Linked DNA regions of Bombyx mori. The main gene of each other region encodes a partner of the protein of the gene in region 3 in a complex. Links are inferred from orthologs where the notes say so. Each region holds a gene or a part of one and is shown on either strand. Other genes may lie near its edges.

Region 1 (3,760 bases), on a different chromosome or scaffold from region 3:
CATTATGTAGATACAGTTAGTGTTAATAGGGTGTCTTGTGAGCATGCAGGGGTAGATATAACCACACTGCCTATTTCTTTACTGAAGCATAAGCAATATAAAAGTGAGATTTAGAACTCATGTCTATATACTCCAGTAACTGCTTAACACCAGGTGGTTCGTGAGCACATTAGACTTAGTAATAAAATAAAAATTGCATTTATCATCAGCTATAAGAAAATGTGTGTGTTGTTGTAATTATTATTGAGGTAATTTATTTATTATTTCAATACTTATTAAAAGATACCTGTTTTATTTTATTTCCGACATCCAATTGATTTGTCTCATCTAAAATCTCATCTAAAGACAGTGGATGGTCATCTCCATCTTGATGCCTTGCTCTCATATGCCGTACAATACGCGCTAGCACACCAAAGCGATAGGACGAGCTGCCAGTCATAGTCTTGTAACTGAAAAGGATGATGATCAATCACAGATTTAACCAATAATTATAATATAACAAAAAATAATATTATTAGTGTTTGCTTATTGATCTAAATTCGACCATAATCATTGACACCTCAAGGTTTAGATTCAATTTAGTATTAAATTTTCCCTTTTGTTTCGTTACTTAGTGATATAAAAAAAAATCTAGAACTGTTTTCTGATAACACAAAAGCTCTTTAATAGCTACTAAATTAAATAAAAGGGAGAGTTGTCAAACAGAGAAAGAACTGGTATCTATATGCTCTATCTCAATATTTTATCCATTGTAGCACTAAATATGATCAATTCTTTTTTATATATTTTATAAGATTTTAGCAAATACACTAAATGATAAATTATTTTTTTAACAATAAAAAGCTCGCTACATATAGCCTGTATCAAGGCTATCATAATATAAATTTTCGAATTCCAAATAAATCCTGTGTTTTTTATTTTTCATAATTTTTTTTCCAAAGGCTTTTTCTAATTTTTTTTATTCAAAAGTTGATATTGCTATAAAAAGTTTATTAGTATTATTTAATAGAATTGGCGATTAAAATTACCTATAAAGCATAATAAATTATGGGAAGCAATGGTACTGATGTCATGAATAGATATTGCTGATATAGTAATTTGACCTAGTCAAAAGATAAAACTAAATGTGATTTCTAGTTTATTAATGAAAATAGCATTAGTAAATGATGCACATATTTGTTTATGCGGAACACAGTAACTATGTAAATTCAATAGTTATTTTGATAACAGAATATTTTAAATTATTAATTATGTTGCCCTAGCCTTTACTTACTTACTAGCATCAAGCTTTGGTCCGGAGCTGACTGAGCTGGATGATTTCGATTTCTTTTTGCTGTCATCTTTGAATTCAGAGTCATCCCTTTTCTTTTTTTCAATGCTGAAGAGAAAAGAATAATACTTTATTAATTTTGTTTCGTTCTAATTTGACAGTAACCTTTCGATGGGTTGAACTATAGCTCATGTAAAGTGTACTTTTATCAAGTGTGACTATGCTGGTATTCAAATACCATAGACCTGTATAATTTTTTCCACGGCAAAACATTTCTAACACGTTTTCATAAATGGATTATAAGATGAAGTAGCATTTTAGATAAAAATCATGTTTCAAAACAATTGGTGACATTCACATTATATCTAGGGGCTCAGGTAATCACTTAACATAATGTGGGCTGTCAGCTTGATCAGATTCTTTGAAAAAATTCATTACTTTAAATTAAATGAAACATTTTCCATTGTATTCTAATTTACCTAGGGCATGCCAGTCAATATAATCTTTAAAAAAATAGGGCCTGTGCCTTGATCATATTTATCTAGAATATTGGCTGCTATTAAATTAGGAAAGATATTATATCTTATTAACATTTAAATCTTCTACTTTTCTCTGCACAAGTGATTTGTTCACATTTCTACTCATTTAGTATTTCGAAACACATATTTCCATTCATAACTTTATATAATGACTCAGTAATGAATATTGCCACAAGGAAGTGAATTGATAGTAATTGTATGGGCTACGTGAGTGACAGAGAAAGTGTGCGATGGATGCCAGTATGTCTCCAATCATTGTTGTGGACTAGCGAATAGTTTAGTTAAAAATAATGTAACAGACCTCGGGGTCGCAAGTGCCTTCTTTTTAAACGCTTCCCGTTCCCGTAAGAGCGCCGGGTCCATATTTTCGTCTTTTAAACACAATCACTAAAAGTACGTATCAATTGTATTAGTATTTTGTTTAATTGCTGTTGTAATGTAGTCTATTTTCCACTTCCAAATCCTGTTTCTTTAAAATCCGGTTTGAGCAATTTGACATGTGACATATGACCATCTTTGACAAATGACGTGAGGGAGTTCATATAGAGTCCCTTCTTTATTTCGCCTGGTTGTGTTTTATGTAATTAACACCACAGTTGGAACAATATAAATTTTATTGTTGTAGCGGCATAAAGTAATTACATTAAATTGGTTATTATCACATTATAAATTATTTTTGTTTTTCATATTTTGGCGGTAAAAAGGTATTGTCACAGACTATATTCTTTTTCCCACATCTCGTGCGTTCCGGCTTACGCATAATAAAACGCCACACCACCCCCCTACGGAGAAGGAGAATCCGCAGAAAAAGAGAAAAAAATATCATAGGTCGAAAGGTTTGGAGAAGTGGACTCTGCGACCTGATCGGGTGGTATATTGAGGTGTATGCGTAGGAGTAGCAGTTAGAGGTGCCGAAGGCACGAGTGGACATGAAGGGACATTAGTAGCATCCGGTTGCGCTGGTTGAGGCACAGAAACCCGCGGTGCTGGTGCTGGAACGAGATCTACTAAAGAATGCTCGACGAAAGCTGGCTTAATTCTGTCGACACTGACCGTCACCTGTTTCCCTTTTACATCAATCGACCACGTTTTTCCGTCCTCGGCTCTAGATATAACTCTATGAGGACCAGAGTAAGGTGGTTGCATTGAACGTCTAACCGAATCCTCCCTGAGCATTACATGAGAGGCGGTGGAAAGATTTTTAAATATGAAAGGTGATGGTTTAGTGTGTGAGGAACATGGAGTGGGACGCAATTTAGACATACGCTGTCTTAACTTTACGACAAAATCCGTCGGGTCCTCGAAGCCAGAAGGACCGGGAGGTACTAACAGTTCCCCTGGAAGCGTTAATGTTTCTCCGTAAAGCAATTCCGCTACTGTTGCTTGTAGATCTTCTTTAAAAGCCGAACGCATTCCTAATAAGACCAAAGGTAATGCATTCAACCACGAATCATCATAACACATCAGAGAGGCCTTTAATTGTCTATGCATGCGCTCCACGAGCCCATTGGCACAAGGGTGGTAACTAGTAGTGCGTATACGTTTAGTACCACATAAATTAGTAAGGCGTCTGAAAAGGTCCGACTCGAACTGTCGTCCCTGGTCGGTAGTGATGACAGCAGGTACTCCGAATCGAGCAATCCAACCGGCTACAAAGGTGCTCGCCACTTCTTCTGCTGTTATTCCGTGCATAGGCCAAACTTCGGGCCATCGAGTGTAGCGATCCACAGCAGTCAGGCAGTATTGGAAGTCAGAACAAGATGGAAGAGGGCCTATGATGTCAATATGGACATGCTTCAGTCGAGACGTAGGACTGGAGAAGTGTCCAAGTGGAGATTTTATATGCCGCGTCACCTTACTTCGCTGGCAAGCAACGCAGGTTTGGCACCAATAACGGCAATCTTTGGCAATGCCAGGCCACACGAAACGGTCTGAGATCAATCGAATGGTT
Region 2 (3,760 bases), on a different chromosome or scaffold from region 3:
ACTCCTACCCTGTCTCTTCACTGCCCCCGAATTAGCTTCAATGTAAATGACATCCCCAACTTCAACCTTTTCCTTTTGTAACGATTCATATATAGTTGGATCAAGTTTAAGTTGTTTGGTACCCTTGGCCGTTTTTAGTCCTATGATCACATGAGATACTGTTTTTCCATAGCCTTAAAAAAAGAAGATATCAAAAATATTAGGTAAAGCAGATATAAGCCAAAGAATCAAGTCAGAGCAAGTCAAGTCAAAATTTTACAGTAATTGAAGCAAGATTATTCATTGCATGATAGATCCACACAAAAAATCAAAACTAATATTATGAACTTTGGTATCAAATTTTTGACCAATTTCAAAGCTTCATGTCAAGGGGAAAGCCAACCCACTGCCTACAAACTGTGCTAAGAGTAGTTGTAGTTAAGGTTTAGACAAACTTATCATTTTACTGAATGTGCAACGGACTCCCAACCTTCAATTTAAATTGCTGTTCTTAAAATACAAACTGACTATAGCCAATATCTGTCAATTAATTTCATTTTAAGTTCAATCATAGTAGATTATATCCACTTTGGCTTTAGCTATCTAGAGACCCTATTTAGACCCTTAGACCTTCTTATATCAATATAAAAAAAAAAAAAAAAAAAACATTTAATTCAGACCCTCTTAAGTCCATATTAATATATAAAAGAATAAAAGAATAATTTTGCTATAGTTACCTCCAGCAGGATTTTCTGTTTCAACAGGTGTTAACTCAGTTACTTCACCCTCATATACTTCTTTGGTTTCACGTATACGCAGGCCTATAGCACGTCGAAAATTCTCCATTAATACCTCTGTTTTCTTGATCTCTGTGCTGTAAACTTCACTACCAACCATTGGACAGAAAGGAACCTGTAATGATGAACATTTTCAAATGTTTTTATGCTTGTTTTATGACAAATTGATGATGATGATATTTCTATTCATATACTTCTAGCTAAGGACACTGAGGAAACTATGATAAGTTTATTATATGTAATGTACTGTTTAGCATATTCATTAATTTTCTAATGCCAATGTATATTAATAGGAGCCTATTAATCATTCTTTCAACAGTTCTTGTTCACTGGAATTTACTATTTTCTTAGTAGCTGTTTCCTAACCTCTATCTAAAAAGTGTGCGAATAGGAAGTCTTAAGTGGCTGCTTCCACCATAATCGGTCAGTAAAATGTTAACACATGGTCAGTCACACTATGGTCAGTATGCTCTAAACCGATGCCATTGAGATTGTCAATAAAAAGACTTTTAAAGAGAAGTCGTCGTGGCCTAAAGGATAAGACGTCCGGTGCATTCGTATCTAGCGATGCACCGGTGTTCGAATCACGCAGGCGGGTACCAATTTTTCTAATGAAATACGTAATTAACAAATGTTCACGATTGACTTCCACGATGAAGGAATAACATTGTGTAATAAAAATCAAACCCGCAAAATTATAATTTGCGTAATTACTGGTGGTAGGTCCTTTTGTGAGTCCGCACGGGTAGGTACCACCACCCCGCCTATTTTTGCCGTGAAGCAGTAATGCGTTTTGGTTTGAAGGGTGGGGCAGCCGTTGTAACTATACTGAGACCATAGAACTTTAGGTGTGTGGCGCATTTACGTTGTAGATGTCTATGGGCTCCAGTAACCACTTAACACCCGGTGGGCTGTGAGCTCGTCCACACATCTAAGCAATAAAAATAATAATAAAAAAACACTCATTTTAGATATGAAAATAAGAAGGTGACAGCCCAAGTTTATATTGTCAGACTTAAGTAAGAACTTACCTTAGTTCCAAGTTCCTGAGCGATGGCAAGAGCTATAGCAGTTTTGCCAGTACCAGGAGGCCCTGCCAAGAGTAAAGCTCGCCCGGCCATTTTCTTACTTCTTATCATATCTACAACTATCCCTGCAGCCTACAATTTTTAAAATTAATAAAAAATAGTTTACAAAAAAAAATGTATTTGTATAGATGCAATAAAAATACCTGTAATTTTGTGGTCATTGGACAGTAAATGATAAATAAAAATTAGATTGTATTAAATGTGTTAGGTTGCTTAAGATTACATTGAATTACTATTACTAAACTACCTAATCCTACAATTCAACATTTTGTTATGTATATTGTCATATTGCCTCCAATTACCATTGATCAATAATTCCATAGCAACCAAACATTGATAACCTCAAATTATTTTTCTCGAACTTCTGCTCTACGAGGTTGATCTAATAAAACTTATACAATTTCGAGTGTAAATTTATCGGCAATTTTTTTGGAAATTTTATTGTATACCTCACGTGCAGACTCTTGACCCACGAGACCGGCTGCCATTTGAATAGGAACACCATTTTCATCCAACCCCAAGCCTTTTATATGACTGTGAGCAGAGATCCTTTGCGTTTTAGCTGTGCTTTTCACTTCTTCAATTTTCATGTTGAAAGCAGCTTTACTCTTTTAAACAGTAGACGTTACTTTGTATTTTCTTTTTAGTACTCCAACAGCAAACTTGAGCAAACTTACTTTTTAAACTACACCATACATTATACAAACTACACTGTACAGACAATATATTAAGTTTATAATCTATGCTACAGACCATAGATTAGGTATACGCTTCTTACAGACTACAGCACATAATGCCGGCCACTCACATGCGCGCAAATATTCGTACATTGTACGAATGTTTGCGCGCATGTGAAGGGCCGTCAAACATTCATTCGCAAACTTAGCGGCTGTGCAAATGGGTTCGGTACTCAATTTGCGAACCCGTTTGCGCTTCCTCCTACACTTGTTTACGAATGTCTCACGAATTTCTCCTCCTTTTTAATTCGTCAATAGAATATTGAAGAGAAAAAGAGTTTTGAATTCTTTCCCAGACATCATTAACAGCCATGCTGTTTTTATGGGATTTCTTTTGATTAAGATACGCTACACAGTACCTGGACGTCACGATCTATGAAAATAGCGAAACGTCCGTTGCCTTCGCTATCCTGGGCGCAACTGGTCACACGAATGTGTGGGAGACTACGCGAAGGATCGCGGTTCGCGCGGTTTCATGTCTGTTAAAAAACCGACACAGCTTGGAAAACCACGAATGCAGCGAAAACTTTGCATAATCATTTGAAAATTAACAAAAATTTCAAAATTAAAAAATTATAGCACACACACGTCATCTACTCTTCTATTTGCCCTGAGTTACTAAAAAAAGAAAATTATCTATAAATATAGTTTGAATACTATTATTTTAATTAAAAAAAAAATTCTATATGATTTTTTATCTCTTTTTTTATTATTATATTTCTAATTTTCGTAAAAAGATAATGTAATACATACAAAACAAAAGCCATTAAGTTTATTAAGTCAGAGCTTCTCTGTAAACGATAATTGACGTAGTTTTATTTTTTTAAATAAAAGAACACTTACTGTGGCATAACTATAATAGTTATACTGCAAAAACACTGTAAATATTAATGTGTTCTACAAAGTCGTAGTACATTATTTTATTCTATCATAAATAGTTTTCGGTTTTATTCTATCATCAAATCGGTTCAGTAGTTTCGGAGCCTATTCAATACAAACAAACAATCAAATCTTTCCTCTTTATGATATCGGTATAGATGTATATAAGTAATATTCACGCAATGCTAACATTTTATAGAATTTTGTGTTACATTTTCGTTCTACTATTTTTACCTGTAAAAATCCTAACGTATCGCCGACAAATCTTATAATATATTTT
Region 3 (3,288 bases):
AAAAACAAAAAAAATTGGTCACGTAGTATGGGTACGTTACCTAAGGCTAGTGTTAGCAAGTGCTCCCAAGTTAAACCCGTGGGCTAACTTACCAAATGGCGCGTTGGAATTGCTCATTAAGTTACCAATGATTAAATACGGAGAAAAAACCGAAGCTTTACGACCTTGAAGTGCTATCATCTATTTACTGCATCAAGTATGCAATTTTCAAATCATTCGAATTAACAATATGCGAACACAAATAATATGATCATGGTAACTTATTTATTTATTTATTAGCGAAGTCACTAAAGTTGGGTATTTCTTTAACTTATTCTAAAATCAAACTTGAGCACAAAAATGTTCACTTATTAATTATGTAGTCATATAATTGTACTAGCTGTACCCGCTTCGCTGGGCATTTAAAATTAACATTATTATTTCTCATCCCCACAAAGATTCTCATCATTAACGCCACCGCAACTGGTGTAGGGAGTCCAACACTCATATATTAGCCTATCCATTAAGTACATGTATTTTCTACACGGATACCAAGTTTCAAGTCAATCGGATGCATGGTTCAGTAGTTATAACTGAACATCCGTAAAAACCACTATAGATTTATATATTAGTATAGATAAGTAATAAAATAAAACAACTTATTAGGTATGTAGATTTTGTTCCCTTATTTTTATTTTTATCTTATTGCTAAATTAACAAACTAATCTATACGAAATGTACCGCCCGGCTGTTTCCGATGATCTTATGATCTTCACCACCTGTAATAAAGTATCGCGTTTAATTTTTATTATTATCGCTTGATCTACAACAAACAAAAAAATGTCGAAAACGTTTTATCACTTTTGATTATTTTTTTCTCCTGCCTATGCTGATAGCCTTGAGAGGCTGTTTCAGCTTCACACTAACATGTAGGTGAGCTCACGGGGTTCAAACCGGAGTGTTGCTAACACTGGCCCTAAGCAAGAGCAGTGCTTCGGTGGTAGGACCTCTTGTAAGTCCGCGCGGGTGGGTACCACCACCCTGCCTATTTCTGCCGTGAAGCAGTAATGCGTTTCGGTTTGAAGGGTGGGGCAGCCGTCGTTACTATACTTGAGACCTTAGAACTTGTATCTCAAGGTGGGTGGCGCATTTACGTTGTGGATGTCTATGGGCTCCAGTAACCACTTAACATCAGGTGGGCTGTGAGCTCGTCCACCCATCTAAGCAATAAAAAAAAAATAAAAAAAAAATCTACCACCGGATCGGAAACGCGACCCACTGAGAACATCCGGCGAGAAACTCAGTGGGCTGTGTCTATGGGTAACAGAAACAAAAAAAAATTGTGCTTTAGATATTCTTATACTCGATTTGAATTCTGACGTACTCAGCCAAAGTAAGGTAAGTGATTCGAAATATGCGGCAGCGTAACCGACGCGGTGTATCCAATGAGGCTTAAATTCAAATTAACATACAAAGCTTGCACGAAAACCGGGAGCCTAACAAATCGAATTCAAGTAACGATCGTGACCATAAAACACGCCAAAATTGTGTAACTTCACTTAATTGATTCTTTAGTAACAAGTATCATTGTTATCAATATGAACCGCTGACTTACAGGGTACCTATACATACATGCCTTCAATAAATATACGTAAAATTATCAAGAAAAAAAAACCCTAAAATGAAGGGTCTAACTGACATAGGTTTTGTTTTTTTTAACCGATATTTTTTTTTATTATTATTTGTTATTTACTTCTATTTTTGACAATAATTCCAACAAAGATCACTTAAGTATTTTTTATTATGATTATATGACTATAAACTTTTATTATCAGTGACCAAAATTATTTAGACATCATTTTAATCCAATGACTAGAAAAAGGAAAATGTGTGTAGCAAAATCTTTGTAATATGAGATCCGCCAATTTCAATATTGAAATATATCACACTCTTCCAAGAGCTGATAACATTACAACAATTTAATAGCTTTGTTGTTTTCTGCTTTCTTTTTATTCTGAATTTAAAAATACGATTATATGAATTTCGAGTCTTCCTTCAAGTAGGTACCACCGCCCTGTCTATTTATGCCGCGAACCATTTTTTTAATTTCTTAGGTGGGTGGACGAGCTTACGGCCTATCTGATGTTAAGTGGCGCATAGACATCCACAGCGTAAATGCCGTCACTAAAGCCTTGTTCGCACTAAGCGAGTATTTTAGTCGAGTACCGAGTAATTTAGTGGCTAAACTACTTGCTACTCACCCGATAAAAATAGAACAAAATGGATTGACTTGACTAAATTATTTACTAACCTACTCGACTAAATTTTTGGTGTTGAGACACATTTAGCTACTAAATTACTCGGTACTCGACTAAAATACTCGCCTAGTCCGAACAAGGCTTTACCTTGAGATATGAGTTCTATGGTCTCAGTTTGTACAGTACAACGGCTGCCCTACCCTTCGTTAATACGTTTCGGTTTGAATGGTGGTCAACCGTTATACTATATAGCTTAGACACTCTTGTCTCAAGAAGGCAATTTATGTATATGAAGTTTGTAAAAGAAGTAAACATAAAAAAATATACACCCTTTTTTATATCAATGAAAATGTTTGTACTTAGAAATTTATGATAAATGACTCACCTGTCCTCTTTTAAGTCCAAAGTATCTCGCCACAGGGTCACCTGCTTGTATTCTCATCAACATGTTCTCTTTCAGCTTACTGTCATTCATTTAGGAAATTTTCATTTAAATGAACCAATCTTTTAGTATATGTATAATGCTATCTCAGTTACATATTAAGTCAGTAGTGAAATAATATTAGATTGAAATGACTAAGGGACATTATTAATTTGCCAATACATTTTTTTGTTCACTAAACAAGTTGACGAGCTCTTTTTTTTATTTTTTATTGCTTAGATGTTTGGACGAGCTCACAGCCCACCTGGTGTTAAGTGGTTACTGGAGCCCATAGACATCTACAGCGCCACACACCTTGAGATATAAGTTCTAAGATCTCAGTATAGTTACAACGGCTGCCCCACCCTTCAAACCGAAACGCATTATTGCTTCACGGCAGAAATAGGCGGGGCGGTGGTACCTACCCGTGCGGACTCACAAGAGGTCCTACCACCAGTAGTAGCTCACGGCCCGTCTAGTTTTAAGTCGTTATCAGAGTCTATAGACAACCCAATGTCACCACTCATCTGAGACATGAGGTCAAATGATTTATTTCCGAAACTTAAATCTATCTTTGTTGTTTCTATCAATATTGCTATTTCTAGTTTCTAAACGTTGTCAGTAAAGGAT

The links.
Region 1: DNA-directed RNA polymerases I, II, and III subunit RPABC1 (region 3) and general transcription factor IIE subunit 2 share a complex: the UniProt entries of both Homo sapiens proteins name them as parts of the TBP-based Pol II pre-initiation complex. The link is inferred for Bombyx mori from reciprocal best matches to the Homo sapiens genes POLR2E and GTF2E2.
Region 2: DNA-directed RNA polymerases I, II, and III subunit RPABC1 (region 3) and ruvB-like helicase 1 share a complex: the UniProt entries of both Homo sapiens proteins name them as parts of the PAQosome complex. The link is inferred for Bombyx mori from reciprocal best matches to the Homo sapiens genes POLR2E and RUVBL1.

The regions. Positions count from the first base shown.
Region 1 is NC_085118.1:15,266,803-15,270,562, reverse strand, and holds the start of general transcription factor IIE subunit 2, read right to left. Parts: upstream 2,317-3,760; 5' UTR 2,173-2,316; coding exon 2,111-2,172; exon of another isoform or gene 2,107-2,110; intron 1,379-2,106; coding exon 1,274-1,378; intron 450-1,273; coding exon 287-449; intron 1-286. UniProt on the Homo sapiens protein: Recruits TFIIH to the initiation complex and stimulates the RNA polymerase II C-terminal domain kinase and DNA-dependent ATPase activities of TFIIH. Both TFIIH and TFIIE are required for promoter clearance by RNA polymerase.
Region 2 is NC_085128.1:12,886,044-12,889,803, forward strand, and holds the start of ruvB-like helicase 1, read right to left. Parts: upstream 2,826-3,760; 5' UTR 2,455-2,825; coding exon 2,314-2,454; intron 1,937-2,313; coding exon 1,808-1,936; intron 892-1,807; coding exon 717-891; intron 174-716; coding exon 1-173. UniProt on the Homo sapiens protein: Possesses single-stranded DNA-stimulated ATPase and ATP-dependent DNA helicase (3' to 5') activity; hexamerization is thought to be critical for ATP hydrolysis and adjacent subunits in the ring-like structure contribute to the ATPase activity.
Region 3 is NC_085125.1:6,615,619-6,618,906, reverse strand, and holds the end of DNA-directed RNA polymerases I, II, and III subunit RPABC1, read right to left. Parts: intron 2,702-3,288; coding exon 2,623-2,701; intron 759-2,622; coding exon 693-758; 3' UTR 642-692; downstream 1-641. UniProt on the Homo sapiens protein: DNA-dependent RNA polymerase catalyzes the transcription of DNA into RNA using the four ribonucleoside triphosphates as substrates.